4 linked regions of the Oreochromis niloticus genome follow. The protein of the gene in region 4 interacts with the protein of the main gene of each other region in a biochemical or structural test. Links are inferred from orthologs where the notes say so. Each region holds a gene or a part of one and is shown on either strand. Other genes may lie near its edges. The genes, in order: dbf4, cdc7, chek1 and mcm6.

Evidence for each region.
Region 1: of the proteins of mcm6 (region 4) and dbf4, one has a biochemical effect on the other in vitro, tested with the Homo sapiens proteins (2 studies listed by BioGRID). The link is inferred for Oreochromis niloticus from reciprocal best matches to the Homo sapiens genes MCM6 and DBF4.
Region 2: of the proteins of mcm6 (region 4) and cdc7, one has a biochemical effect on the other in vitro, tested with the Homo sapiens proteins (2 studies listed by BioGRID). The link is inferred for Oreochromis niloticus from reciprocal best matches to the Homo sapiens genes MCM6 and CDC7.
Region 3: the proteins of mcm6 (region 4) and chek1 form a complex in vitro, tested with the Homo sapiens proteins (2 studies listed by BioGRID, with this or other methods). The link is inferred for Oreochromis niloticus from reciprocal best matches to the Homo sapiens genes MCM6 and CHEK1.

Annotation. Positions count from the first base shown.
Region 1 is NC_031976.2:20,456,402-20,463,797, forward strand, and holds the start of dbf4 (protein DBF4 homolog A), read left to right. Parts: upstream 1-4,225; 5' UTR 4,226-4,418; exon of another isoform or gene 4,419-4,476; intron 4,477-4,663; 5' UTR 4,664-4,732; coding exon 4,733-4,793; intron 4,794-5,218; coding exon 5,219-5,379; intron 5,380-6,201; coding exon 6,202-6,402; intron 6,403-6,517; coding exon 6,518-6,568; intron 6,569-6,644; coding exon 6,645-6,714; intron 6,715-6,853; coding exon 6,854-6,930; intron 6,931-7,035; coding exon 7,036-7,081; intron 7,082-7,194; coding exon 7,195-7,240; intron 7,241-7,330; coding exon 7,331-7,396. Other genes in the region: mitochondrial glutathione transporter SLC25A40, read right to left, coding at 449-530, 662-945, 1,285-1,409, 1,713-1,780, 2,285-2,391, 3,082-3,141, 3,377-3,476. UniProt on the Homo sapiens protein: Regulatory subunit for CDC7 which activates its kinase activity thereby playing a central role in DNA replication and cell proliferation. Required for progression of S phase.
Region 2 is NC_031982.2:10,742,114-10,749,465, forward strand, and holds the start of cdc7 (cell division cycle 7-related protein kinase), read left to right. Parts: upstream 1-3,936; 5' UTR 3,937-4,163; intron 4,164-4,398; coding exon 4,399-4,486; intron 4,487-5,949; coding exon 5,950-6,036; intron 6,037-6,141; coding exon 6,142-6,277; intron 6,278-7,039; coding exon 7,040-7,133; intron 7,134-7,297; coding exon 7,298-7,352. Other genes in the region: probable ATP-dependent DNA helicase HFM1, read left to right, coding at 1-83, 666-971, 1,150-1,225, 1,721-1,832, 2,114-2,259, 2,416-2,464. UniProt on the Homo sapiens protein: Kinase involved in initiation of DNA replication. Phosphorylates critical substrates that regulate the G1/S phase transition and initiation of DNA replication, such as MCM proteins and CLASPIN.
Region 3 is NC_031975.2:13,694,427-13,701,798, forward strand, and holds the start of chek1 (serine/threonine-protein kinase Chk1), read left to right. Parts: upstream 1-4,110; 5' UTR 4,111-4,272; intron 4,273-4,502; 5' UTR 4,503-4,503; coding exon 4,504-4,568; intron 4,569-5,516; coding exon 5,517-5,631; intron 5,632-6,408; coding exon 6,409-6,517; intron 6,518-6,735; coding exon 6,736-6,800; intron 6,801-6,904; coding exon 6,905-6,974; intron 6,975-7,095; coding exon 7,096-7,284; intron 7,285-7,372. Other genes in the region: complement factor B, read right to left, coding at 1-80, 766-823. UniProt on the Homo sapiens protein: Serine/threonine-protein kinase which is required for checkpoint-mediated cell cycle arrest and activation of DNA repair in response to the presence of DNA damage or unreplicated DNA.
Region 4 is NC_031982.2:7,553,451-7,561,703, forward strand, and holds the start of mcm6 (DNA replication licensing factor MCM6), read left to right. Parts: upstream 1-4,939; 5' UTR 4,940-5,094; coding exon 5,095-5,192; intron 5,193-5,365; coding exon 5,366-5,512; intron 5,513-5,664; coding exon 5,665-5,775; intron 5,776-6,016; coding exon 6,017-6,104; intron 6,105-6,193; coding exon 6,194-6,355; intron 6,356-6,442; coding exon 6,443-6,608; intron 6,609-6,707; coding exon 6,708-6,856; intron 6,857-6,938; coding exon 6,939-7,089; intron 7,090-7,195; coding exon 7,196-7,337; intron 7,338-7,485; coding exon 7,486-7,627; intron 7,628-7,737; coding exon 7,738-7,845; intron 7,846-7,984; coding exon 7,985-8,140; intron 8,141-8,253. UniProt on the Homo sapiens protein: Acts as a component of the MCM2-7 complex (MCM complex) which is the replicative helicase essential for 'once per cell cycle' DNA replication initiation and elongation in eukaryotic cells.

The sequences.
Region 1 (7,396 bases), on a different chromosome or scaffold from region 4:
GAAGGCCTGTTCCTCACTCAGCAGTCTTTAAAGGGCAAGGCTTTGAAAAGAGGAGTGGGGTCTGAAACAGGAGAGAAGGGGGCGTCTACAAACAGCTGGAGCAGCCATCACCATCATCCACAGAGGAGGAAGCACACACTTGAGGCACTTATTCATGTTGCTTATCAGCACTGAGAAGGTTTAAGTGCTCTACAGGGCTTGACTTGTGACGCTCGTCGACTGTCACAAAGTGTTGTGGCCTCTTAACGGAATGAGGAAGCCTTTTTGATGAGAAGTAAAATGTTTTAAAGCTCATTGTTGCTTTTATTTAACTGCAGACTTGGATTATTTACCATGACAACACAAATATGAACATAAAGCATCAACATAACCTCCCCAGGCAGCTTCAGATGTACATTTACAATCTTCAGAAGCTTTAATAAAAAAAAAAAAAATTAAGCATAATTACAGTTCTTTGCTTGCAGCTCTCCAACTTCCACCTGTCTTCTTGTTTTGACGACATCAAAAGGCAAAGTTACAATAGATGCAATCTGAAAGAAATGACAAAAATGAAATAAGAAATGATACGCTGTAGTTTACTTCTGTTTGTTCGCTATCAGATATGTTTATCTGCAGGCTGGAAGTTGAATTCTGTGCAGTTTTAGATGAAAAATTTACTTACAGATCCTGAAACAGCTCCGGATACAAAGGTGATGGTCAGCGTGGGTTCTGTGATGTTAGACAAGCCACACAGCCAACTCTTGCCCATCTCGTAGTTGTACCAGTACATGGCCGAGAAGGGAACGTCTCGGAGAAGCGTGGGCCCCAAACCCCTCCACAGGGACAGCCAGCCCTCTTTGGCCACTGCTGAACGGATGCACTGGGTCAGCTCCCTGTACGACTGCTTCTGGGACTGCAGTTTAGTGCGGATCAACTCCAGAGGACTGATCACCGTCACCGAACCCACTTTCACACAGAGGAGGAAGACAAAGCAGGGCATGAAGTGTTATGGTAGTGAAAGTAACATACTGCTGTGGTGCTTTTAATGACTGAGCCTCTTTTTTCTACTTTAATAATCACTTACAGGCCTGTGAGTTAGACTAAAAATAACATTCGCATTTTCTAGATGAAATCTAGCTTGTGGGATAAAATCAGGAAGTCGAGGCCACGGTGCAGAAGGTAAGGGTGGTTGGCCTTGAAACCCCAAACATTATTAAAATGCTGATGTCTGTTATTAGGCATTATATGGGCATTATTGTCAATATATGGCATATTTCAGTGGCAGTAGGACAGCAGTCAGCTCACCTCTAGCAGTAGCTCCTGCAAGGAGAGGAGCCACCTGAGCATAGTCTCCCATCCTGACCCTCAGTGCTGCACAGAGCTGGTCGTAACATGTGAAGTAGATCACTGTGGCTGGGACTGCCATCACACTAGAGAAGGCACATAACAGAAAGTACATAAATCATGCCTTCCTTATAAAATTTTCTAAGCACGTAAAAGACAGCCACCAAAATGCATCTAAATTTAAGAAAGTTCTGTTTAATGACGCATAACATAATTAAATATTTGGTTACGATCATTGAAGAAATTCATAGTGAGCCACCTCAGAGTAAATACCACATCAAAGGAAAACACTGTTAATGACAGCATCCGCTGTAATCACTACTGACCCACCACAGCTCAGTTTTAAAAGGAGGGCAGGCGCCCAATCAGGAAATAGACTTCACACTCACAGTGTTGGAGGCAGACCGCTCCATAATGACCTGATTCCCTCATGCCGCACTATGTTGACAAATGCATCCTGCAGAGATTCAGAGTTAGGAGTCAGTGAAGGATGATGTGCTCTGTGGCACTCAGAGGTTTTGTACTACAACAGCTCAACTTTATACAAGGAAAAGTTCTATCAGTCACTAAAGCTAAGCTTAATGTGTCAGACTGCTAACTTTAAAACATTATACGGAACAAGAAGCTCACTCTCTGGACAGTATTTACTTTTAAGGGAACATAATTGGATTTTGTATATATTCATTTTGTTTTCTGTTTCCTTTTTAAATGTACTTTAAATGTTGACACTAGACACCACACTTGTCACAGATTCTACGTTATAAGGCTTTTGTCAATTTTCGACCATTAAATCATTAAGTTGACCTTGAAGACCAAGGTCAACTTAACGAAGCAAGGCTTAATGAAGCAAGGCTATCGGACAACTAACAGACCTAACAGACAGAACGACATACAAACGATACCAAAAACATGGCGGGAGGTAATTATAGTGGTAAACTGTAATGTGGATGTAAAATTTTACCAGCGTGCCGCTGAAGTGACCCGGAGCTTTGTACCAGGCCTTGGAATTCCCATTTTCACAAATACATATGTGGTCCATAAGTCCATTGCAGTAGACAAAGCATTTGCCTGAAAAATATTAACATTAACATTTAATACAGTGACGTCAAACGCAGGCCGCCTGGCTGTTCAGGTCAGCAAAATGCGAACATTTCAGTAAAGTTGTTACTGGCTAAACCAATTATTGAGTAAAATTCACTGCTGTTTCTAGTGTGGTAATGTAAAGCCAGCAGTACAACAAGGGCATGAAAATGTATGGAGATATAAAAGCAGTTTTGGAGCTTTGGATGTTTGATTGCAGGTATTTAAACTCATCCACCTTCACTGTTACATCATCTCCCTTTCATTCTCACACATGTATTCTGGCTTTCATGGCTCCATCTCTCCAGGCTCTCTTCTAGCTGCTCCCTAATCCCACTCCTGATTCATATAGGTTATAAAGTTCATAAAGTGACATTTTATATTGCCCCTTAACTAAAATTAGTTTGACTCCCCTGGTTTAGTATATAATGGAGCCACAATAAACATAAAGACAGATCAAATGCTAAAACACAGGGACAAAAGAACCTTTTTTTAAGGGCCTCATATGGTTTCTACCTCTGTAATACTTCCAAAAAGTCTGCTATGGAAATAGGTTGATCTTTATTATTACTTTAATAATGCTTCTTTTTGCATGCACAGTATCATGGTCTGATATATGTAACAGAATTTAAAATAAAAAAAAAAAAAGTCAGTCAACATAGTGTAAATTCATTTCACCTTTGGGAAAGGGATTTTTCTGTGCTTGTAGCCTGATCTTCACAACATCCAGAGGTGTGACTGTAAAAAAAGCAACTCAACATGAGTGCCTGTGTTCAGGATGTTTGTCACAATTTTCATTTAATCAGAGAACAAACAAAGCAGCAGTTCAGGAAACTTCTCCAAACCTCCGACTGATCAAAATAATTTTATAACACAATAACAAGTTGTACCTCATAAACCACCAGCTGAGTGTTAGTTAATAAACAAAGGCATGCTTTTTGTAATGTAATAAGCTGAAGAGTAGGTGCCTCACCAAACAGCGACGTAAGGATGGCGCCGGAGCAGGACGCCACCATCTGTTGGAGGGGAGTAATGGCGCCGCTGGCAGGAGGAGCAGGACTTTCATTATTCATCCTGTCTTCATTAAAAAACAAACAAACAGACAAACATTTGATTGCTTTTAATACGCCTCCTATTTAATATTCACACAATAAATCATGACAAGGCTACGATCCCTAAAAAATTACATGACAGGTCTCTGGCTAACTTTAGCAAGCTAACTAGCACAGCTAACTCCTTACCTACTAAAGTCAGTCAGAATCAGCGACGTCTTTCGTGAACACGCACATCCCTCTCGGGGTTTATAGCTATCCTCCTACTACGCCAGTTCCTGCTGTCCTAAAGTCTTTGAAAGCATAAACACGTGTGAAATTGCAGCAGGGTAGTTCCTGACGCAAACAGCGCGTGATGACATAATTTAAATTTCAGCTGAGCACATACCTTGACTTTAATAATTGTATTTATTTTTGTAACTTCAGATAAAATGACACTAAACGTGCATGTATACTACATTAAAGTTATTGTAAATGACAAAACTGATATAATTGTCTTCGTATAATTTACTTTAGTTTGATAATAGTGGGGAAACAACACATCCAAGCATCAAGAATATGTTTACGTATTTTTTGCGTTGCCAGGTTTGGAGAGTATTCCGTTTGATATCAACACCTCTGTTTTTGAAGCTATCGATAATAGGACGGCTGTAACGTTCATAAAAGACAAAGCTTCAGATAAATAATATTACATTTGTTCAATTTAAAAACTAACTCAATAACATAGCGCATTTTAACGTGGAAATGGTTACGAAGTTGGAAAGCGTCAAACATGGCAACATATACCGTCTCCGACACCGGATTTAAAGCGGGAAAGGGAGGTGAAGGAAGCAAACGGCACTGTTAAAGTTTATTAGTTCTGGATGAGGAGCTGTAAAACCGTATAACCGTGGCTATTCTGTGGAAAATAAATCTGCCGACAGACGTTTAGGGACGTTTTTCGACATTTACTTGCATAAAAATGTGAGCAAAGAGGCTAATCGGCGAAGCTGTGTGTCCGCTGGGGAGGGAGGCTGTGAACGTACGTTAAGTTTACATTTAAGACCATTAAAATTGATTAACATGGGGACAGCGAGCATTGCCTCAGATAATGTTAATGTAATGTTAATGTTACATTTTGTTTACGTATTACTATGTAATAGATGATTATTTCCTTGCATTTTGCGTCTAATTTTTTTAAATGTGCGTTTTCTTTTGTTTACACACAGAGGACTGACGAGGCCTTTGTGGAGTATGTTAACTCAAGACGGGAGGATAAGAAAAGCAGCCTTTTCTCGATGAAAGAGAATAAAATGAAGACAAAACGCAGTCAGAGGCACCCGGGACCCAGCTGGCAAGGTACCTGTAGCGTTTATTTCCGTGTTACACCAGCCGCGACTTTTTCCGTGTTTTGCATTTAAAATTTAAAACGTAGTTTTAACCAAACTAGCGAACAGCTAACACCGTAACGCACGAATGTAACGCTAATGGATCTTTTGTGAAGTTTTTTGATTGTTAATTTACTTAAAAATAATCTCTATTGAACCAGATTGACTTGAATGTTAAAACAGATGATATAGGCTCGTTTATTTACTTAGCTTCTAATTCAAGTAAGGATAAACTTGATATAAAACGTGCTTTAAGCGTCAAGTTTGTCATTGGAGATCTTAATTCAATCTCTCTTTTTGTTTATGTTTAATCCGTGTCTGGAAAACTTGCTGTAAAACTCACTTGTAAAATGGTTTAACATTTAAGTCTTCTTCTTGTGCTATACTGTTATTCAGGAAAAGGTGGACATACTAGTGACAAGGTGACGCTGAGTCAGGCGAAACGTACATCAGTTCCCACACAAGTCAAGCCTTTTGCTGGAAAAGTGTTTTACCTGGACCTGCCATCAAACAGAGCCGCAGAAACCTTAGAGAGTGACATCAAACAGCTTGGAGGGGTGAGACATTATTTGGTTACATTCATTGGCTGAAACTTGCATTTTGTCACACTGCTTTTGTGCAAGCTTAACATATGAACTATGAAGCTGCGTACACCTAATCGTTCATGCAAATATCTAATCAGACAGGCTGGTCTGAGTATTTCAGAAACTGCTGATCTAACGGGATTTTCTCACACAAGGAGAAAATATCCAGTGAGTTAGGTTGTTGTTGGTGGTGTAAGGATATGGGGTATTTTCTTGGCACACGTTGGGACCCGAGTCTTCTTGCTGACCATGTCCATCTCTTTATGTCCAAATTGTACCCATCTTCTGATTTCAGCAGGGTAACATGCCTAGTCACAAAGCTCAAATCATCTACATTTGATTTCTTGAACATGACAGTGAGTTCACTGTACTCAAATGGGCTCCACAGTCACCAAAATCTCAATCCAATAAACCACCTTTTTGACATGGTGGAAAAGGTTTTTCATCACGGATGTGAAGCTGATAAATCTGCAGCAACTGTGTGATGCCTTCATGTCAATATTGACCAAACTCTCTGAATGTTTGCAGGAGTTTGTTGAATTAATGTAATGAAAAAATAAAGCCTGAGGTCCAACCAAATACTCCAGTACTTACTGGAGAAATAAGCCAAAACTGAATGCATTTCACTCAGAAGTAGTATGACTAGAAAATGTCAGTCAGGTTACAAACATGACCAGACATTCAGTAATATATTTTTAAAGGCTCTGGGACATGGTTACTCTGTGAATTGAATAGACAAATAATTATTCTTGAGTTTTTCTCAAAACATTTTATCTTGTTTATCTTTTCGCTCAGACTGTGGAGAAGTTCTTCAGTAAGGACATCAAGTATCTGGTATCTAACAAGCGGGAGGCTAGATATGTGAACTGCCTCAGACAGGACTCTCCTGTTCCTAGCCCAGACTCTGGACCGAGTTCGCCGTATCCTTGCTCAAACCCACACCGGCCTGGCAGCCATGGCGACATCAAGAGCAGATCTCAAGGACAAACCGACACGGTGAGTTCACCATGATGTGTCTGTTTTACCGGGATTGATCTCACTTCTTCTCTGAACCTGTAGATCATTTTTCTAGTTATTGATATTTTTTGCATTATCTGTTGTTGTTTTGCAGTTTGTTACAAGCCGAGGGAAGTCTCTGGTGGAGAGAGTAGTGAAAGAGCAGGTTTGTTTTGTCAACATGAATGATATTTACTGAGGGCTTTTAATTGCTCTGCTAATACACACTTGTTTGTTTTTAGGAAAGGATTCAAGTAAACAAGATCCTGTCAAATGCCCTGGAGTGGGGTGTGAAAATCCTATATGTAGATGGTATGTTTTGTGTGTGTGTGTGTGTGTGTGTGTGTGTGGTATCTGTTTTAGTTGAAGTAATTTTTCTTCTTTGTATGAAATTAAGTTCATTCTGCGTTGCCATCTGTGATTTTTCTAAATTTATTTGTGCCAATTCCAGATTTAAGAGCATATGTTCATAAGAAAAAAAAGATCATCAAAAGCTCAGTTCCTGCAGCCACTGCGGCCAAATTATGTGTAAGTTGAGAATTTCCAGTGTATAGTAGGAAAAATAGTCCAACTTTATATTAAGTTATTTGTATAACATTGGAAGTGTTCACTTTTTTCTGTCGTTTCTAACAGGACAAAGCTGATTCTGCAGCAAAGCAAGGCCTAGAGAAATGCAAAGGTAGACCCCCCCCCCCAACAAATTACTTAGCTTTGCTGGTATATTTTAGTCGGCCTTTTCAGGCTGGTATTCTTCTTGCTTTGCTAATAAACGATCTATGTTTTGTATTCCAGGTGGGCGGATTGGTAAACCTTTCATCAAGGTTGAGGATTCAAGTAGGTAAGAAGTCAATCAGAAAAACCCAGCATCCACCTGCTGTCATGAAATTGTTCCTGTGATTTTTAAAATGCTTTCCTTCTCTTTTGTCAGGCACTACCGTCCAATCTACCTCACAATGTCAGACATGCCTGAGTTCAACCTGAAAACCACTGCTCC
Region 2 (7,352 bases), about 3.2 Mb from region 4:
TTCAGTGAGACCTCAGTCTGGGACTGACTTGGCAAGTGAAGCTCAAATACCTGATGTAGAAAGCCTGAATGACCTCGACGGAGGTAAACAAGTGACATGACTAAGCTCCACATATTCCTTAACATTTGAATGTCACTTCTATCATATCTTCTTTGTGTCACGTGTTATATCATATATCATAATATGTTATATCATCAGCTGTTTTCTTTCTTTTTATTTTTTGAGATTATGATGACTATTATATGGAAGACATGTACACAACGATGGGAGGGCGTTTTGGGAAGGCCCTCACCATCAAAGTATTGTTAAATAACTTCAAACTCAGTTCCAGACTAACTATCCTGTTTGTTCGCATGTTTTTGTTCTGCTCAGCTTTAAGTTCTGCTCAGAGGAGGTCCAAGTACAGCCACTTGTTATATGGACTGTGGTAACAAAAGAAAACATATTAATTAAGTCAGACATACTCAGGACCAGGTTTATTCAGCATACACAAGATTAAGTGGTAGACTTAACCACGGTCAGCTTTGAAATCAACAGCTGCGAGATGGAAGAATATATCTAAAAAGATATTAGATAGATGTTATTGTTCAGGTTGAATTTTTAAATGCACACAGTTGAGGAAGATTTGATGATGTGACCATGCTTTTATTTTCCTTTGTGTTGAGGTTCCTCGGTGTGGATGACCACAGATATGAGTGTTGGGAGTCAGGACTCTCAACAGGATCTAAACCAGGTCAATACAACCAGCACGGTTTACTCAAAGAGCTCCACAGCAGTGCCAGAACAGGCTGCTCTCTGCAAAAATACTTCATCCCTCCAGATACCGACTGTCAACTTTGACCTTGGAAACGAGTGGGATGACTGGGGCGATTTTGATGATGATAATCTGATGCATGCAAGCGAGCCAGCACTGACTTCATACACAACTGCACAACCTCAAATTCAGCAGTGTGGTGAAAACCGCACACCAGGTAGGGTGAACAAGTCGGAAATCAACTTCTCATACATTTCAGTCATCAGGACTTCATTGTGACATGAACACAGTGATGTTTTAATATCACTGGATACCCTTAAGCACACATGCCCATGTGGGATTATACATCAGATGTTCTTATGGTTTAATTAACATATACATATGTCTTTATGTAGGCTATGTTACAGCACCAGTATTACTCAGCCACTCACACATCAAACCCTCTATAACCACTGTGACTACACCACTGAGGTAAGACCACAGCCTTATGCACCATTAACCACCAAGTGAGGTATAACCAGGAAGCCAGGAATCAGAAACTGTGTGACATACTGTATGTGCAGTGAGACAGTATCATTAACCATTAGAAAATTTGTCATATTTGCAGACTCCAGTTGTTTATCCTGGAGTTTCTAAAAGTGAAAGCTTTCAGGCTCCCCTTCTGTGGAAACAGCTCCCAGTTTGGAATCAGGAGACAGCCGCCCTCTCTTTTCTATTCTTTTAGTTTTAGTCGATTAAAAATCGTAATAGTGTAGATTAAATCTAAAGTAAAACACAAGTGTCAGAGTTTGTAGTTTTTACACGATTTACAATGACAATTTGATATCACATGCAAAATGTGTCTATTCTTCTCTTTTGTTGCATTTTCATGAGAAACAGGGAACGTGGAAGGTGGTTGGACTGTTTAATAACAATACATGTGTAATAAATTTAAATTGAATAGAATATTTTTCATGATTATTTCAGGTTGACTTTAACAAATGTCAGTCCTGAAATCAAAAAAGCGGGACCCTCAACAGTCAGCCGGACATTCACTCCACAGAAGAGAATCACACCCAAGTGGAATCCGAAAGTCCATGTATGTGCACACGCAGGAATGTGTACATGTGTATTTGTGCAGAGTTAGTGGCTATATGTAAAAATACTGAGAACGCCATTTTCTGTCTGTTGACATCTTTTAGTTATCTATTATCTATTTAGCTGTCTATTTATTCAGTAAGTACAGTAAAGCTCATACTTGTGCTATTTTTCTTCTGACTTCAGTTAATGCTTCTAACCTCACCTTTCTCAAATGTAACAGCCAGCAGTCAAGCTAATGTGCAGACATGAATCATGGCTCTATTTCTTTTTGTTGTGCAGAGGCCAAATATTTTCAGTGAGGAAACCACTGTAAAAACATCATTAGAACTTCTAAAACAGCCTGAGGAGGCAAAAGTGACTAGGAGATTGGATTTCTTTTCAGCATTGAGTGCCCCACCCAACGCCAGCTCATCTCTCAATAGAAGGTAAAAAAAAAAGTGGCCTTGATTCACACCTATTGCATGTTTTCTCACCAAATAATAAAAGTGATCCTATATGCAGGGGATATGGGATAAGCATACTTCCTTACAGGATTAATAAATACCCTTTTTCCTTTTTTTTTTGCATATATTCAACACCAGCAGCAAAGAGGAAGATGCTTTTGTTGGCATTTTTGATGGAATATTTTAGAAGTACTGGTGGACACACTCTGATATAAACATGTCACTAATGTAAGGTGCTTTCTGTTTCCTGTGAGATTTACACCTGGAGTTGTAGAGTGTTGCAAATTCATTCTTATTTTGTATTGTAAAAGAAACAAAGTTCAAAAGGGTTTTTTGATGTGATTGTATTTATGTGCGCTGTTTACTTAATAAAGCCTGCGTTCACTGGAGGATTCAGTGGAGTCTTTGGGTAATTTCTCAATGTCTGAACTCACTTGTAGACTAATTAGAAGTAGCTTTGTGACAACTGTCTAGTATCATAGGTGTGTATTCAAAGACTGCCATTCAAGTTGTTGCGTACTCCAGTGAAAGTATTAATTTCAACTTAATGCAAAGGAATAAGTATACATGTCTCTACATCTAAATCTTGTTGCATGGTGATGCAAAAATAGTATTTTACTGTTATTTTTAGATTTTTTTTGTAGATTCAACTAGCTGTTGTGAAAGTAATGAGCCTACTAGTGACAAAGTACCTAAAGATACAATTTAAAACTGGTTCTTCACTAAGTTGACTGTTTATCCCTTGTGTTAGATGATGACTTTTTTATGCTTAGTTATAGGTCAGTTTTAGGTGGCTTAAGAAACAAAAGAATTAATTTCTCTGAACATGGTCATTGAAAAGACTGAAAATGATTTTTAAAAAGCAGCCAGTATCCAAAGAAAAACTTCCAATGAGCTTTTGAAAACCCGGAGAGAAAAAGTATAAGAAATTCTGTCTCCTTGAAAACAAAGTAAAACCAAGAAATGAGGACTCAAGACTTTTGCACAGTACTGTATATCCAAGGTTATTAAAAATATAACCACAGCTAAATGATAAACCTATAGGAGGTGTTAAAAACACGTTTGCTAACCGAAATGAAAATAGCCAGACATGAACAAGAAAAACAAGAACAGAAATTATGCAGTAGATAATATTAAAGCCAATTTATCGGTGGGACAATATTATTGTAAAATATGAACTATTTCACAATCTGTTGATTTATGCATTTATAACTGCTGATAAATGGGAAAAAGTAAAGTGATGGGAGAAACACCACTCAACCATGTTAAGAGTTTTGATGAGGCACAATTTGTCCACCAGAGGGCGCTCTGAAACTTCATCTGTTTTTTGTGTTTGAAAGGGAAAAAAGAATATTGGACTATTTCAATTGAATATTATATTTTTTAATAAAACATCCGTGTTGAATGAGCTCCTAAAATATACATGAAATGTTATTAGTTTTAGTCTTTTTAAATTTGCTCAAAATTGTCAACAGCCATTCTTATGAGGCAACGACTCATAACGGAGTAACAAGGGAAGTAATCAGAAAACACTAAACTGTTATTTGGCAGTGTAACGTGTAATTCACAGGCAGCAGTTTTTGTTTTATCTAAGTCATGCAGCGATACGTCACAGGTATAATTAAATTCTCGTCCGTGTGCTTGGGATGTCACGTGATTTCTGCTGCTGTAACGCGAGATTTCTTTGACGTCACTTTTAGCGCGGAGTTTGTTGTTGGCGGAGACGCTTCAATCCGAAAGTCTGTACAAAGTTGTTCAGGCACCGCCAGAGCGGAATATAAACCTATAATTGATGTTTTACCGGTATAGATGTTGGTCAGGGCTGTGTGGTGACTTTATGAGGCATTAATTTGAGACACTTTTGGACTTTACAACCAACTGAAGCGGTAAGTTTCTTTGTGTTTTTGCTCTACGAGCTGCAGTTAGCGAGCTAACAATATGCTAGTGGTGTCTAGGAAGTCAGACCGCGCTCTTCAAAAAACTATAACTGCAGACATTTACAGTAACGAGGACTTGTACAGCTACAGAATATCTTAAATAAAGTGTTTACCAAACTTAAATCACGAGTGTTTGCTCCGTCTGTAAGTGTCTCTATCGATGTTCCTGTTTTCTGGTTTTCAGATGGAGTTTTCTCCTGCCTGCGCTGAGCCCAGCACAGACGGATGCCTTATGAAAGCTGACAGAGGTCACAAGAAACGGAAAATCTCCCGTGAGTTGGACAACTGTGATATGACAGAAATATTTCAGTAGAAATGCATCCTTATATTGGAACTACATTATTATATTATGGCTGATATACACTTAAAATCTTTGTGCTCAGCTATAGTTTGTCACTGTAGCTTCAGACCCAGCAACACACTCAGACAGAAACTGGTTCACCCGAAAGGCAAAACTCCTAAACATAAACTGAACAATGTGGTGTATGCTGTACAGTGCAGCAAGGAATGCCCAGACCTCTACATCGGAGAGACCAAACAGCCACTTCACAAGCGCATGGCACAACATAGAAGAGCCACCTCCACGGGACAAGACTCAGCAGTTCATCTGCATCTAAAGGACAAAGGTCACTCTTTCGAGGATGCCAACGTTCACATTTTGGACAGAGAGGACAGATGGTTTGAAAGAGGAGTGAAAGAAGCCATTTACGTCCACTGTGAGCGACCATCTTTGAACAGAGGCGGTGGTTTACGACACCAACTGTCTGCCATCTATAATCCAGTTTTGAGATCCCTTCCCAGACCCCTTAACGCCCACTCACATCCTGGGCCATCTGACCTCAGGAAATCACATGATAGGGTGGGGCCAGGTTTAACAATGAGCTCACCCGAAACCCTGGCTGATTGGGACCCACACCCGCTTTCACACCTTGGCTCATGTGATTAGGTAGAGGATCATCAGGGGGTCCTTTGTCCCTCTTTGGGGGGAAACTCCCACTGGGTTTAAATCTGGGACTCTCCACCATTTGACCCTTAGAACTGAAGAAGCTTCTCGGATGAGAGGTGAAACGTCTTCAAGCAACTTAAAGAAGTCCAGACGCTTTCCTTTCCAAGCTCCTTAGACTACAATGACCTGGATGACTGAGAACCTTCACAGACACACTGTAGCTTAGAGTTTGCACACAGTATTAGTAACCTCACTCTGGGCAGAATTAATTTTTAAGACAATCATATCATATTTATTTTATATTTAGTTTGCTTTCTTTGTTCTTTTAAAACTTACTTTAGGGTTGTCGGATTTTTTTAAAACAATACCATAAGTTGAGGTGTAGCAGTGTGGCCGCCAGTATTTTTCTTTAACTCCAAATTATGTCACAGTTATTGATCCCCGTCGGGAAAGTCTCTCTGCATTTAACACATTCACTCAGTGAAGCAATGGGCCCGGGGAGCAGTGTAGGGGTACCTCAGGGTAGCCGTTCAGTGGATTTGAACCCTCAACCTTCCGATTATGGGGCCACCACTCTACCTGAGCTATCCCTGCCCTGCCCTCAATGCAAACGCCCAACATGGGCCTCGAACCCACCACCCTGAGATTAAGCCGGGCTTATACAGCTATATCGATACTCTGTTTATCTCTCTCCCCTCCTGTTCCTATTGCTTTCTATGTGTTGACTATATACACCACACTAGTAATGGTGTTCTGACAGTGGATTTTTTTTTTCTTGTTTGTTTCCAGCGGAAGTGGAGATGGACATTGAGTTTCTTTACAAAGCTGTTCCTCAGCTAGCCAAGGTTTTCCGCATTATAGACAAAATTGGAGAAGGTACGTTGTCAGTTTTGGAGTTTTTATACAGCTGGGAGAAGGATTGTTAGCTGTTCACTAACCTCATAAGGAGAAGTGCTGATGACATTTGTGTGTCTTCATTAGGTACGTTCAGCTCAGTATACTTGGGTGAGGTGCAGATGCGAGATGGGAGGAGAGAGATGTTTGCACTGAAGCATCTCATCCCAACAAGCCATCCCACACGCATTGCTGCTGAGCTTCAGTGTCTCACTGTTGCAGGGTGAGTCCAATGCAGGAACTTATAATTTTATTGATGTTACACAGATGTTTTTTCTATCAACATCTATTCCTTTATTTAGTTTGTGTTACTGTAACCCTGTACACTGTCACTAATCCTTCTTAAAGAACTGAAGCTGGTTAAATTATAGAGTTCCTTTGAGTTGCACCTTGATATTTGGCATTTCTTACATGCCTAATGCATTGAGTTGCTGAAATGATATTGGCTGATTAGATATTTTCAATAATGAGCAGGTAAATAGGTGTGCCTAATAAAGTGGCTGGTGAGTGTATGTTTTTATTATTTGACAGATAATCCAGGGATTCAATTTGATTATTATTTAATTTTCCTATAATTCCACGTGGTGTTGGGAGCACACCTCAATATTCACTTTTCTTTTAGTATTACTGTTTGTGAAAGAGCTGAGTATCCCAAAAATGTAAAATCAGAAAAGACCAAATTTTATTCGATTCCTTGCTTTTAAGTTTATTTTTATGCTGTGGTAAATCGGTGCGTGGGTTTCTCATTTGTGTGACATCTTATGATTCAGTTTAACCTACGCAGTTTGGTACACTGCTGGCTGGGGTTGACAGGACGTGCAGCATAAAGCACACCAATTTATATAAATGAGTGTGCATTTGTGGTTGAGTGCTTCTGTAATGATTCTTGGAAGTGAACGTCCGAGATTGACATTTCTTGCAGACATAACACATTATAATGAAATGACGCCTGTCTTCTGAGCTGTGCCCTTAATCCACTTTGCAGAGGCAGAGAGAATGTAATGGGAGTGACATACTGCTTCAGGAAGGAGGATCACGTGGTGATTGTAATGCCCTACATGGAGCATCAAGCCATTGTGGTATGTACTTTGTCATATGTTACCGCAGTGTTTATACTGAAGTGATTTATTTATTTTTAATGGACACAATCTGAGCTTCTAAATCAGTCTCTTCTCCTGATTATGTTGACGTTGCTTAAAAATGTCTTTTAAAACCTCTGATTTAAACTAAACATATTCACCAGGATATCATTGGGTCGCTAAGTTTTGAAGAGGTCCGCCTGTACATCTACCACCTGT
Region 3 (7,372 bases), on a different chromosome or scaffold from region 4:
CTCCAGGTTGTTGCTCAGTGTGTAATTCCCTCCTTGCATTTGCAAATTACTCTCAGGGCAAGCACATCGAACACCAGCTCCTGAAAAAAAATGTCCACAGTTCTCAGAGGCCACAATTTAAGTTTATCATACACTTACATACGTACCATTACACAATTACTAAAGTAGTGTAAAATTCATGATTTGCCTTTTTTTGAAGTACACAGTATGCAATGGATTCTTTTACTAAAATCACCAGGTTAGTGATTAAGGGTTTATACATTGTTTTACTTACCTTTGTGAAGCATTATTTGTATTACAAGAATTTAAATTGTTATGTTTTAAATGCAAAAAGTCTGATATTTTATATTTAAGACAACATTATTTCTTTGAGCCTGCACTAATTTCCATAAATAGATGATGAACAAAATTTAGTACAGACTTACATTTTCTGAAAAATTCACTATAATGTTCACATTTGATGATGTTGCTAAGTCTCTAAAAACCTGATGGATAGAAGGACGTTTGTCAAATATTCAGAATATATTCAGAATGTACAATATAAAGCGCCTTGAGGCGACTTTTGTTGTGATTTGGCGCTATATAAATAAATATAAATAAAATTGAATTGAATTGAATTGAAGTTATATATTAGTTAATAAATATTTATTTGAACATTGATCAGTTTTTACACCTATAAGGTGCATAAACCTAAGTAAACAACAAACGCATTACTAGAAATTCAAAATTGTATATAACTTTTTATCTAAAATAAAAGTATCTTACCCATCCAAAATGCACATAAAAGCGCTGCAAGCCAACTCCAGTGGATAGAAAATCCCATCTTGAAGCTTAAACTGGGGGACAGTTTAAAAATGAGAGTATATTGCAGAAGTGGTTGATTTATTTCAGAGTAGAGAGTGATGTTTAAACTGGGAGTGGACAAAGACCATCCTGGTACTTATTAACTTTATGACCTGTAAAAGAGGATCAATACATGTTTATCACAGAAAACACTCAAACAATTTCCACATTTACATAAATCCTTCTCAACTGATAACTTATTTAGAATTACACAAAGATCTCTTATCTAATTTATCACTTACAATGTGAGCTGGGACGCTATTTACAGTAGTTATTATTTGGAAACTGCTTTATATTTATTACGTGCTGATGCTAACAACATGAAAAAATTGAGGTCAAAAACAGGGAGCCTTTGGGTTTAATTCTCAATTAAATACATAAATAAATAAAACCACTAGTAGAACATTTACCAAACTGATCAGGTTCATTAGTAAAAAGATTTGCTGTACAAAGAGTCTATGCATCTTTCAGCAATAAGGATGAAGATCACTTCATCACTTTGCGAAAGACTACGTGGAAAACTGACAAATTCAGAGTACACAAGGCACGAGGCCAAGAACTGATCCCGAATGGCCCCAATCTCTGGATCTCCAGCTGGTCCTCTATTAAAGACACACTCGACACTCTACTAGGAATATTTTGCAGTCTTTTTTCTTGATACCTTTTTTTCAGGGAAGACTTTACTCATGTTATGAAAAAGATGCCAAACTATGTGATGTTGTGTTATAACACCTGATTGGTGCAGTGTGAGGTGACAAACAGAAAGCAGCTGAGCAGCTGAGCAGCTGTATTAAGCAATTATCTTTCACTTAAAACAAAAGGTGAAGCAAAACGGTAACAAAAGTGCTCATGACTCAGATTTTTTGATTTTTTGATGTACTGTTTTCATTTATTCAATTGTTTATATATGAAATAGTTAAATGCATCAACTACAAATGTGGGTTGCATGGTTTGTGTTGTGTGTCCTGACCTTAACTAAGTTTTTTTTGGATCCAGGATTTCCCGTTATGTGTACACACGCTGTCACATGTTCCACGAAAAACAAAGTCATTGTGAAACCAAGACAAAGTACAAACATTCGCTTCATCATTTCCCAAAAGCACCAGGCTAGCTTGTTGACACATTGATTCAAGTATTGATTAAACACTCCATCGTGCCTCAAGCTCTCTCTGGCTTTGAGTTTGTTTTCTGAAAAACAGTTAAGAGATTATGTTTTGAAAATGTGATTTTTTGTCTTCTTTTTAATTTACATGCCACACAGACTAACTGGGTAATTTTACAGTGTGAATACTGGACACATCAGTTTCTCCAGGGAATAAACCCTGTGGCACTATTATTTTCCCTTTAGTGACCTGAATTGGAAAAGCCTCAGTTCTGTGAGGGCCTTCTGAAATGACAGTATCTGCTGGAGCTTCCAGCTGAAGCTTCACACTTTCAGACACCTAAAAGTGGTTTAAATAAAAGCTTTGTAACATCCATTAACTAGAAAATGTTTTCTTACATGGGAAGAAAGGCCACTTTTTGAACATTCATTTGCATGAAACTCACAGCTGCATTGCAATTCCCTTATTTTTGACCCACGTGTATTGTAGCAGTTTTTGTTGCTAAAATTGGGTCTTGTGGATTCCACATGCAGCTAGCATGTTATTGTAAATGTCATAATCTGTATTTCTTATGTAGTTTTTTACACTGCACAATGAGTCACATTAGATTATTAACATATAATTACATTAACTGAGTGTATAAATGTTGGTAAATAGAAGGGAATAGATATTAGGACATCATTTTTAATGTCAGGGTAGTGGTAGAGCTTGGTGTCGTTCTTTCTGTGTTGGTGCTGACCTGAGTTAGGGCGACTCTAAATGAGGATGGATGGATGGGTGGGTTTTTGTTTGTTTCTTGTGTTATTGTTTATTTTCTATCTTTTATTACACTTCTTAAAATAGCAAAGTGGCAATTATTACTGTGAAACACCTGCATCAGTAATTTCAAAGAAAGATTTAAAATGTTTTTCAGCTCATTACAAACTCAATTCAAAAAGAATTGTGAAGCTGTCCAAAGCGCTGAAGACAGAATGCAATGACTGGCATATCTCATAAACCCATATCTTAATTACAATTGAAAATAAAAAAACATGCCACATGTTTAACTTTATAGGCTCCAACCCCGTGAGACCCTAATAAGGATAAACGGAAGAGAATGGATGGATGTTTAACCCTTTCACGCCTAGTAAATAAATAATAAATAAATAAAATTTTATTTATATAGCACCTTTCCTGACAGAATCACAAAGTGCTGCACATAAGATAACAAATAATAAAAGGGTAAAACAGACAGTATAAAACAGGCAGAAGTAAAGTCCAAAAAAGGTGAGTTTTGAGTTGTTGTTTTTTTAAAAACAACTACCGAGTCCATAGGTCTCAATGTATGAGGGCAAGAGTTCCACAGTCTAGGGGCCACAGTGGCAAAAGCTCTGTCACCCTTAGTTCTCATCTTAGTCTGTTTTATAGCAAGTAAACCCTGATCAGATGACCCCAGGGACCTGCTAGGGACATATGGCTGTAGCAGATCGGAGATGTAGGGTGGTGCCAGTCCATGCAAGGCTCTAAATGTCAAGACCAGGATCTTAAAATGTACTCTAAATTCAACAGGAAGCCAGTGTAGCTGAAATAGCAATAGTGTCACATGTGAATACTTGGAGGATTTTGTCAACAACCAAGCTGCAGCATTTTGCACAACCTGCAGACGATCCAGAGAACCTTTGCTTAGACACATAAACAAAGAGTTACAATAGTCCAAGCGTTAGGAAATAAATGCATGTATAGCTATCTCCAGTTCAGGGCGAGATAAAATAGGGCTGTGTATCGTATTTAATACATGCAGTTGTTTGTGAGTTTTTGAGACTTCTACATCATCAGTGTGACTTTTTTCCCATTTTAAAGCATAAATAAATTTTGCAATACTTTTTTAAGCAATTTTTTTTTTTTTTTTAAAGGCCAGATGTAGTGAATATGATGCAAATTACAACTATTATAAGGGGAAAAATATGTAAATAACTTTATAAACAAATTTGTCAGGTGTTTCAATAAACTCTCCATTTAAAAAAATAGAATTTTGTGGCAATTATTCAGGCTTTAAACAATGTTGAATAATGAATTGTAAATCTGGCATGTTTAATCCGAATAAGACTTGGATAATAATGAACAGTAGGTGGCAGCTGACCGGCTAAACTCAAAGAAGAAGAAGAAGGGAGGCGTAGAAGAAGACAAGGCGGAAATGACGTCCAAGCGGAAGTTATCGCCAATGAGACAACAACGCGCCAAATTTGTGAAAAATCTTCAGAAGTCAGTGCAGCAGGATGAAGACGTGCGTCTGAGCTTTAAGGATAGCTACATGTGGCAGTCGCTGCTGTGTGAAAAGGCTGAGCAGGTAGGTTATTTTCTCATATTTTCGTATTTTATTTTTCTTAGCGGTTTTCTTTTGAGCATCATGACATTCGACAGCACTCTGTCAAAGTGCTGTCAAAGTTAAGTTTTGTAAGCTGGTAAATGCTTAACAGACACTTGTTAGAAGAAATAGGACCCTTGTTATGAAAATAATGTATACATAAGTAAATATTAGAAAGCGAAAGTGATGAATGCGTGTGTTTCTGTTTCTAGCATGGCGGTGCCTTTTGTGCAGGACTGGGACGTTGTTCAGACTCTGGGAGAAGGAGCCTACGGAGAGTATGAAAGCTTCCTTATCATTGTTTATCATTAGCTTATCGCCTTTAATAGCTGTCCTTTTCCAGCCATTGCACAAGGATTTTTTTCCCCCTTGTTTCATGGGATCATGACAGGCATGTATATGCACTAGAAATGTTCATCTGAAAATCCAAAAACATCACTCACAGGAGACACCTGACTCCATCACAGTCACAGTTAGCCTTGAAAAAAAAAGAAGATGAACCAGGTATCAAAATGTAGGTAAAAATGAGACCTTACATATGCTAAAACATGTTTAATGTTATGAGACTTTAAAGTTTAACCATTTTTACCACAACAATTCCATGGTTTTTGCCATGGAATTGTTAGAAAACAAATCAAACACTCAGGGTAGCAATGACTGCTTCTATCATTCTTAAATTATGGCGTTATGCCACCATTAAATGAGGTGTCCAGAGATACCAATGCTCAAAGTTGGTTATAGAAGAAAACTACCGCACAAAAAGAACCTTTTAACTTTAGATTGACTCTTTAAGTGGGTTTAAAAAGATCTTAAATATCTTTGTTTGGTTTTTTTGTTTTTCTTGTTTTCTAGAGGTCAAAGTCAAGTTTATTTATATAGCACATTTCCAACAGTGCATGCTGCACAAAGTACTTAACAATCTAAAATGCAACTAAAATAAATAAAATGCACAACAATGATGCAGTAAAATATAGAAGGGGAAAAAAAAATATAAAATAAAAACAACGAAAACAGACGGAATTTGACACCTGACGTTCTGATTTTATTGAATAGTTTAACAAAGTTTAAAGTACTTGAAAATTATCTCTAGAAACACTGTAGGAAGATTTTAGCTCTTTGTGCATCCTGATAACTTCCACTCAGACTTCCTCTCACTTCTCTTCACCTCCGTGCTCTTTTCTCTTTATGATCTAACCGGTTTGTCCTCTTTGTGTTCTTGGTCTCAGAGTGAGGCTGTTGGTGAACAGACAGACTGAAGAGGCGGTAGCAGTGAAGGTCATCGATACCTCGCAGGCAAAAGAGTGTGCTGAAAATGTCAAGAAGGAGGTCTGCATCCACAAGGTACATCCATCACCTTCACCTGCACAGTTAGTATTATTGAAAGCAGCGGCTCACCAGTGGTGTGTTGTGAAACAAGTCAAGCTGTTCTTAAATCCATATGTTAATACAGTAAACAGCTGCATGAAATAAATTGTTAATTAACTGAATCACAGCTTTGTATGCTCTCATTTCCCTTTTCCTTGCATCAGTAAAAAAAAAACACAGCCTGTTCATGCCAGTCCCAGACTGTGAGAATTAGATAAAAACTGTTACTGTTGTGAAAACCAACTCTAGCCTCAGCTGATCTGGGGACGTTGGTAGCCCTCAGCTCGAGGGTGTCATTTGTTGGGAAAAGCTACTGCTATTCCAGGCAAGCTGAAAGCAAACATGCAGATAAGAATACAGATGTACAGATGTGTCTGCTTGTTTCGGCTCACCTAAAATGATGTGACATGATGACAAAAGATCCAAAAACCAGCTGAACAGACACCGAAGAGGCAAACTGAAAGCAAACATGTATGAAGTCGTACTTCATACTGGCTAAAATATAAAGAACTGGCATTTGTTATTAATGTTGGTTAGATTCGTAAAGATAAACTGGCTGAGACTGACCAGTTTGTTGCTCTAGTTTACAGATACAAACTGATTGTAAGCAATTTAACAGACACTGAAGTTGTTTTTATTTTTTTTATTGTTTTAGATTTGTTGAATTAATTAAAAACGTTAAGCTCTTAGCTAAGTAGAGTGATAGCTGAGAGCACTGTTTTGAGGATCTTTGTGTGTGCACTTAACTCATAGATGCTCAAACACACCAACATTGTACGCTTCTTTGGCCATCGGAAGGAAGGACCCACTGTGTACCTCTTCCTGGAGTACTGCACCGGGGGAGAGCTGTTTGACCGAATCGGTGAGCTGCAGACACACATTTGACGAGGAAACTGTCATACAAGAAAAACCTTTTGTTTGCTGATTTATTCTTCCAGCTGTAACTTTCCTGACTCAGATATGATTAGCATGAATACATGAATTCAGCTTAGCTGAAATGCGTCTGGAGTCTTCAGTAATCATTCTTTGCAAATATTTGATTTCGGTCTTACTCTCTTTCTTCTTTTACGCTCTCTTTAGAGCCCGATGTAGGGATGGCTGAAAAGGATGCTCATAGATTTTTCCAGCAGCTAATAGCGGCTGTGGTGAGTGAAGAACATCTTTGTGTTGATGTGACTTCCTGCGTATTTTCCTGCTGTTATTCTCTTTTTAAGTTTTTTTTTTTTTTTTTTTTTTTAACCTTTTCTAGGAGTACCTCCATGATTTTGGCATCACACATAGGGACATAAAGCCAGAGAACATTTTGCTGGATGACAAAGGTGAGGAAATGCAATCTTTATCAAAGGATTCTCTTTTTAGGATTCTCTTTTATTCCTTATAACCACCGCCCTCTGGGGTTGACTTTTTTTTTTCTTTTCTTTTCTTTTTTTTCACCTTCAGATAACCTGAAGCTGACAGATTTTGGCCTGGCAACCATGTTTCGCTTTAAAGGCCGAGAGCGCCTTCTGAATCGATTGTGTGGGACTCTTCCCTACGTGGCTCCGGAGCTTCTGAGCCAAACAGAGTACAGAGCTCAGCCTGCAGATATCTGGGCTTGTGGCATAGTCCTCACTGCCATGCTGGCTGGGGGTAAGATCCAAAATGTGAAGATCATACACACATCTGTAGTCCAATACCATATGACAGCATTGGCAACGAGAAGTTGATGATATCACAA
Region 4 (8,253 bases):
AGTCTCGACGAGGAGCCACTGTGATAAAACAAAGAAGCAAGGACTGTAATGCTCTCTACAACATGGACATGATCCTTCGGTGGTTTCTCACCGACCACTTTGCTCCAAGGAGTTTCTGTTCCACCTCATTTTACTGTTGTAACTTTATTAACGGCACCTTTAGTTACAGACTTGTACTCCAACCTTCCACCAATGCCTGCTGTCCCATAGCTGCACTGTTTTAACACAACTACAACAATACGGTGGAACAAATATACACAGACACATAGTGCAAAATTAACCATTCAGCTGAAGTTGTATCTTTCTGGTCCCAGCACAAAACTATAAATAAGAAAAACAATTTTGGAAAAATTGTATTATTTTACTGTCTGTAGTGACTGTAGTACTACTTTCCTTTTAGAAATACTGTACATTAATGTTAATGCCACTGTTTTGCACATACCTACCTCTGTATATTTTATATTTTATATATCTTATTTTATTGTTTACTCTATTTCATTTGTAAAACATGTATATACACACTCACACACACACACACACACACACACACACGTAGAAAAACATATTTAGTACACACATTCAGTAATGTATATACCTTTATATATGGTACATATATTTATTACTTTTTAGATTAACCATTTTTATATTTTGCTTGTTGCACGTTATTGTATTTTGCACAACTCTGTTGCTTGTGAAGCTTGCACACAAGAATTTCACTCGCATGTACTGTACCAGTGTACCTGCACATGTGATGTGACAATAAAGGTGATTTGATTTGATTTGATTTGATTTGAAATGAAGCAATAATTTTTTTTCTTCCCACTTCCTCTATGGACCACCACTGTGCAATACCAATTCTATGTGCAATAACCCAACTGTATATACACAACACTATTTATTACATATTAGTTTTTTTTTTTAAAACTGGCTTGTATATTTGTACATTTTATATATATATATCTTTTTCCCTCTGTTAATACTGTCCATATGTATATAGCGCTGCAGAACTGTACCCCCCCCCCCCAGCATGTTTTGCACTGAGTAGATGCTCTGTATCTCATTGTACAACTGTATAGTGACAATAAAGGCATTCTATTCTATTCTATTCTATACCTAGTAGGCGCTGACACTGGCTGAGCTGACATGTAAAATAAAAATATGCAGAAACATGAGTGTTCACTGCCCCCCAGTGGTCATGTGGTACATTTATAAGTTGAATCCAATTACTTGTGTCCTTGTGCACAGTTTTGACTACTGGGGGTTCCAGAGTGTGGGGGCCCCTCCCTGGGGCCAGTAGGCACTCCCTTCCTTCCCTCCCCATCCTCAGCTGCCTCCCTCTTCCTGCTCCACCAAAGCCACCCACACACGCAGGGCTTGGGGTGCAGGTGTGTCACCAGGGTGCAGGGGAGGCACTCCCCCTCTGTCCCCTTCTGGCCGCCTGTGCCTCAATTTTATTCCGCAACCTAGACATCCACATTACTCATACTCTCATAACACATACCTATAGGGCCTTGGGGGTGGTCACGTTATACAGCGTCCAGAGGACGGTCTGTGTATTCAAACCCACCTCTGGCGCTGGTGCCCTACCCTCAATTTTAAATGCATATAGACACTGAGGGTTTTCGGGAGGAGCCGTGCTGCTCTCTGGCAGGAAGCACCTTGCCCTCCTGTGTTTTAAATGCACTTTAGAACAGCACGCAGCAACACTACATATGAGTGGGCAGAGGGAAGTTTGGGGCCTTCACTCACCCCCGTTCTGTTAACCGTCGGTGCTGGGGGGCTGGGAGGAGGTGCTGGCCGTCGGATTGGGGTCTGGGATGAGGGGCCTCCCTGCTACTGCAGATAAGGAGGCGGTCTGCTTTCCTCCACCCCAGAGAGAAGGGTTACATCTCCTGGGTCTAGGTACGGTTTGCCCCTCTGGGGGCAGGGGTACCTGGACCTGGGATATAGAGTATGTTTGGGGAGTGTGAATGTGTGTATAGTGTCTATTTGTGTCTGTTTCTACGTCGGGTGAGTGCCGAGTATTTGTTTGTGTATATGGGGGTGGGAATGCATGTTTGTGTCTCCGTCCGCCTGTTAGTCTGTGTCTATATGTCAGGTTGGGTCTTACACTCCACCTCTCTGGAAACATCTCAGGCTCTCCGAGGTATGGAGGCCTATCTCCCCTCACCACACTCTGCCGGTGGCTGATGCCCTCAGATGTTGGTGTGTTGGTGGTTCTTGGTGTCTGGGGCTGGGCACTCATGTATGTACCGACTCACTCCTGGTGGCCGATTGGTGGGGGTTGGTGCCTGTGGCCCGGCTGGGCCCCTTCCGGGGGGTGGGGTGCCCTCAGGCCTCTGGGCCTGAGGCCCGGTCCTCTCTGGCACAGCTGGCTGCCGGCAGAGCCCGCGGGCACGAGACTGCAACCCCTCTGGCCTCTGCTCCGTGGCTGCTGGGTGATCTCTCGTTTGGGGCTCTTCTCAGCTCTTCCCAGGAGGGTGGCATTAATTAATATTTAGTATCTACTGTTAGCTAGTTTATTGTGATGGTGTTGTATTTATTATGTTGCTCTTTTTTGTTTGTTTTCTCGTCTGTTTTTCTTATCTCCATACAGGTGATCCAGGTGTTTTGTTTGTTTTTCTTTTTTTTCCTTCCCCCCTTTCTCACCATCTCTTCGCCCCTCTATTTTTCTTTCTCTCCCTCTCTTTCTTTCATTCTTTCTCCCTGTCCTATCCCCCAGTCATGTCTGTCCCGTCTGTAACAACCGAAAATAAAATAAAATAAAAACATAATTATAATAAAGGTCAATCAAATGGACCAATATGGCAAGGCCATGAAGATGCACTTGGTAAAGTAAATCCGCTTGGCATCTTTCTTGGCCTTCAGACAACAATTCTGATGGCTAAAGATCCAAACGGGACAGGCAAAAAAAAAAAATAAATACATAAATAAAGCTTTGAGGCACAAACACAGAAAAACATTCGCTACTGCATCAAATAAGTTGATTCTCTGGGATTTTTTCAGTCTTTTATTCCCATCTAACAAATCCTCACTTCTAACTGGTGACCTCTGGAGCAGCCTTTTTCTTTGGATGGAAACCACTAGTGGAAGAGACAAATGACATGTAGGCTTGTATAAAGCAGTTAAAACAGCTTCACCACAGACATCTGCAGCAGTAAAATGCTTTCGGTTTTTAAATCAAAGTACATTTACTCAAACCCAAATTCCCTTTGGGGTTTAGCATCCATTGTAAAACTGCAAAATTGAAAATAAGGGAGCGGCTGAAAGTAGCTTCTACTCAAAGGAAAAGGCTTACAGTGAGTTTTACTAGGAAAGGAGGAAAAAACATGTTGGCTTGGCAGAGAGATTGAGCTGGGAAGGATTTGCAGCAGGTTACGGTGGTTAAAGATAGGATGGAAATGTATTAGCGAGTGAAGAAAATGTCTTGATAAGGTGGAAGGAGTACTTTGAGGGGCTGATGAGGAAATGAGAGGAAAGTGCAGAGGATTAGTAAGGAAGAAGTGAAAGTAGCTATGAAGAAGGGTGAGTGGACATACCTGTGGAGGTATGGGGATGACTAGGAGAGAGGACAGTGGGTGCATTAACAAGATTGTTTAACACAATCCTGGAGAGCGAGAGGATGCCTGGGGAATGGAGAAGAAGAATACTAGCACTAGTTTTCAAGAACAGTGGTGATATGCAGAGTTGTAGTAACTACAGAGGGATAAAGCTGATGAGCCATACTAAGAGGATATGGGTAAGAGTTGCTGAAGCTAGGTTAAGAAGAGAAATGTGATAGTGAGCAGGACTATGGTTTCATAGCACTACAGATGTGATGTTTTCTTGGAGAGTGTTCATGGAGAAGTACAGAGAAGGTCAAAAGGAGTTGCACTGTGACTATGTGGGTCTAGAGAAACCATATGATAGGGTGGTGAGAGAGATACCGTGGCAGAGAAATATGTGAGGGTGGAGCAAGACATCAGTGAAAAAAGAACCAACTTAATTGAATTATTTCAATTGGTAACACCTAATTTAATTAAGTTCTTTGAAATGAAGTTAATACATTAGATAAATCAGTTGTGTTACTCTATGTATTAACTTCATTTCAAAGAACTTAATTAAATTAGGTGTTACCAATTGAAATAATTCAATTAAGTTGGTTCACCTATTTTCTTTTTTCAGTGATGTATCAGGACAGCAAGACAGGGGTGAGAGTGACAGATGGGTTCAAGGTGGGGGTGAGACTACATCAGGGATTGGCTCTGATCCCCCTCTTATTTTGATGAGGTCAGGCAGGAGTTTCCATGGAATATCAAGTTTGCAGGTTACACCGTGACAGTTTGAGCTGGAGTTGGCAGTGTTTAAGAGGTTAGGATTTTCACTAGGCATGACCAGAATGGACACGATCAGGAATGAGTATATCAGAGAGGCAGGGTGGGTTGATCGGTTTGGAGACAAAGTAAGAGAGGCAAGACTGGGATATTTTACACATGTGCAGAGGAGGGAGAGCAGAAATACTGGGCAAAGGATGCTAAATATGGAGGAGGCAAGCAGGAGGAAAACAGGAAGATCACAGAGAAGATTCATAGATGGAGCTGGATGATCCAATGAGGCAACTCCTAGGAAGAAGAAGATGATGATGATAATGATGACGACATACTAATATTAAATATTATGGCCGGAAATGGCTCAAGTGCTAAGTTTACTGCGACGCTGTCACTCAGCTCATTCTTCATTTGTAGCCTGTCTGTATAACGCACGTGCTCGACAAAGACACGCGCACACTGAGATAACAGCTCGGTCTAGCCCCGTCTACAGCTGCTATTGGTTAGCACAGGAAGCGTATCGCGGGAAAAAAGGCAGCAGGACCCCGCGTCAATTTACGTTTCCGCTTCTAATTGGCTACGAGCTCAGAGACATTTCCATAACGTCGCAGATTGGTCGAAAGCGGCGCGCCAAACATCACGTGGTCTCGCTTTTCGCGCGAAACCGGGCTCGCTGTTGTCCGGAGCTGAGCGTGCTGTGTGTCAGAGAGGAGAGGAGCAGCTCGTGTCGGTTTTGCAAACTTCTTTTTGGATTCTCTTTGTTGTCGCAGTTTGACGGACTTGCAGCATGGATGTCGCCACAGCCACCGCGGAGACTGCCGGGGCGATGGTGAAGGACGAGCTGGCCGAGAAGTGCCAGAAGTTATTCCAGGCTTTCTTAGAGGAGTAAGTGAGGCAGCAGCGACCGTGTCGTATTGTTGTCGGCCGAAACGTGCTTGGCTTGACATCGCTCTTTTAATCAGCAATTATAAGGATCGAGTGCTGCTTTGATCGGCTGCTATTGGTGTCTTTTCGCTGCTTTTTCTTAACTCTCTCTCGCTTCCTGCGTCACCCTGCAGATTTCAGAGCGGGGATGGGGAGGTGAAGTATGTCCGGGAGGCCGAGGAGCTGATCAGGCCTGAGAGGAACACCCTACTGGTGAGCTTCACCGACTTGGAGGGCTTCAACCAGGAACTGGCTACCACCATCCAGGAGGAGTACTACAGGTGAGCAGGCCACATGACCACCAAGTCATGGGTGCTTCCCTCATATCTAATCCAAATACTGAGGTGGGAGAGTGCTCTGCTGCATTTCAAACCATCAGTTCAGTGCTGTGGAGATAAGCTGTGGGATAACCTGAAGGATTCTCTGTTTCCAGAGTGTATCCCTACCTATGCAGAGCAGTGCGCAACTTTGCTCGGGATCACGGGAACGTTCCTCTCAACAAAGAGTTCTACGTCGCTATCGAGGATCTGCCCACCAGACACAAGTAAGACACTGTTAACCAAAACCACCATGTACATCTCCATTTATCTGGTCTGAGCTGCCGTTTATTCAGCTAGATTGCTTTAGTGTAAAGATATTTGTAGAAATGTCTGCTTGGCTTGAATAACTTGGAACTAAATGGTGTTTAAGTTGTGGTGCATAAAGCAGAAATGCTACATCTCACACTGGTAGATGTTAATGGGAATGAAATGCCAAATCTGATCCTTTTCCTGTGTTAAATGTAGGATCCGTGAGTTGTCCTCCATGCGTATTGGCAGCCTGGTGAGAATCAGCGGTCAGGTGGTGAGAACGCACCCAGTCCATCCTGAGCTGGTGAGATGTTTATATCAGTGAAGAAGACACAAAGTTCAGTTTTTCGCTTGTCTTTTGCCATTAAACCCATTATGCGTCCTTTGGTGCAGGTGAGCGGTACCTTCCTGTGCATGGACTGCCAGGCAGTGATCAAAGATGTCTCTCAGCAGTTCAAATACTCTCCTCCGACCATCTGCAGGAACCCCGTGTGCAACAACCGCTCCCGCTTCCACCTCGACACGCACAAATCCAAGTTCATCGACTTTCAGAAGGTAACTGTGATAAAGGACGTGTGCCTGTCTGTCTGCATGGATGAATGAGTCTGATTCTGACCCTGTGTACCCTGTTTGTGTATCCAGGTGCGTATCCAGGAGACACAGGCGGAGCTGCCCCGTGGTTCGATCCCACGCTCTCTTGAGATCATCCTGAGGGCAGAGGCTGTGGAGACGGCTCAGGCTGGAGACCGCTGTGACTTCACTGGGACCCTGATTGTCGTGCCGGATGTCTCACAGCTCAGCACACCTGGTACTTTTTAAAATTTTAACCATTTATAATCAAAACTATGTCTTGTGGTGTGTTTTTGTTTTGTTTTGGTTCTCATGACTGTATGGATGTTACTTCCAGGTGTGCGAGCAGAGACCAGTACCCGTGTAGCAGGAGGTCCTCAGGGCTTTGAGTCTGAGGGTCTGAGAGGACTGAAAGCTCTGGGAGTCAGAGAGCTGTCATACAGGCTGGCCTTCCTGGCCTGCAACGTGGCGCCCACCAACCCACGGGTAAGAAGCGCTCGCCCCTGTGCCTAAAAATGCAAACGGCTACAAATCTTGCTGTGTGATTACAAATACGTCTTTATCACAGTTTGGCGGTAAAGAGCTGCGGGAGGAGGAGCAGACAGCTGAAAGCATTAAGAGCCAGATGACGGAGAAGGAGTGGGAGAAGGTTTTTGAGATGAGCCAGGACAAGAACCTGTACCACAACCTGTGCACCAGCCTCTTCCCAACCATCCACGGTCAGTGATAGAACCCCCGTCTAGCCTTTTTCTCCAATGGAGGATGCTCTCGTAGTTCTTTATCAAAGCTGTGACTTGTGAGTTAAACGTTAACGTGATGGTGCAGGTAACGATGAGGTGAAGCGCGGCATCCTGCTGATGCTTTTTGGAGGCGTTCCCAAGACGACCATGGAAGGGACCTCGCTCAGAGGAGACATCAACGTGTGCGTTGTGGGAGATCCAAGTACTGCCAAGAGCCAGTTCCTCAAGTATGTCACACAGTTTCCACCTTCACTGATTAGCTTTGCATAAAGTTTTTCTTTGTTCCATCTTCTGGCACAAATACTTTTCAGTACTCTCTTTGCTGTAGACATTTGTTGTACAGCATTGTTGATTTGAATGTGTGTGCCTGTGTAGGCACGTGGAGGAGTTCAGTCCCAGAGCGGTGTACACCAGCGGCAAGGCCAGCAGCGCCGCAGGTCTGACGGCGGCCGTGGTCCGAGACGAGGAGTCGCACGAGTTTGTCATCGAGGCTGGAGCTCTGATGCTCGCCGACAACGTGAGTGCTGCGACTTCTGAAGAACAGTGACGGATGTATTATTATGGAAAAAAAAAAAGTTTCTTTATGTAATTAGTGCAAGTAAAACTTGTTAACTGGTTTGATTTCAGGGTGTTTGCTGTATTGATGAGTTTGATAAGATGGACCTCAAAGACCAGGTGGCCATCCATGAAGCCATGGAGCAGCAGACCATCAGCATCACCAAAGCCGGAGTCAAGGTGACGCTTTCAAAGCTTTATGCTTTGAACACACTTTAAACACTTTTACGCAGCACAAGTGGAAGTTAAACTGCTATCAAATTCGATCGCTCGTCTCTGCAGTAGAATAACCAGACCGTTCCTCCGCTTCTCTCCTCAGGCTACCCTGAACGCTCGCACATCCATCCTGGCTGCTGCTAACCCTGTCAGCGGACGCTACGACCGCAGCAAGAGTCTGAAGCAGAACGTCAACCTGACCGCTCCCATTATGAGCCGCTTTGATCTCTTCTTCATCCTGGTGGACGAGTGCAATGAGGTACATGCAAACGTAGCGTAGTCTGAGCATCCTGTGCTTACTGGTTGATCTTTATGTTCTGTTTATGTTCGTACCTTTTATTTCATCCATTATTTATTTATTTTATGGTAACT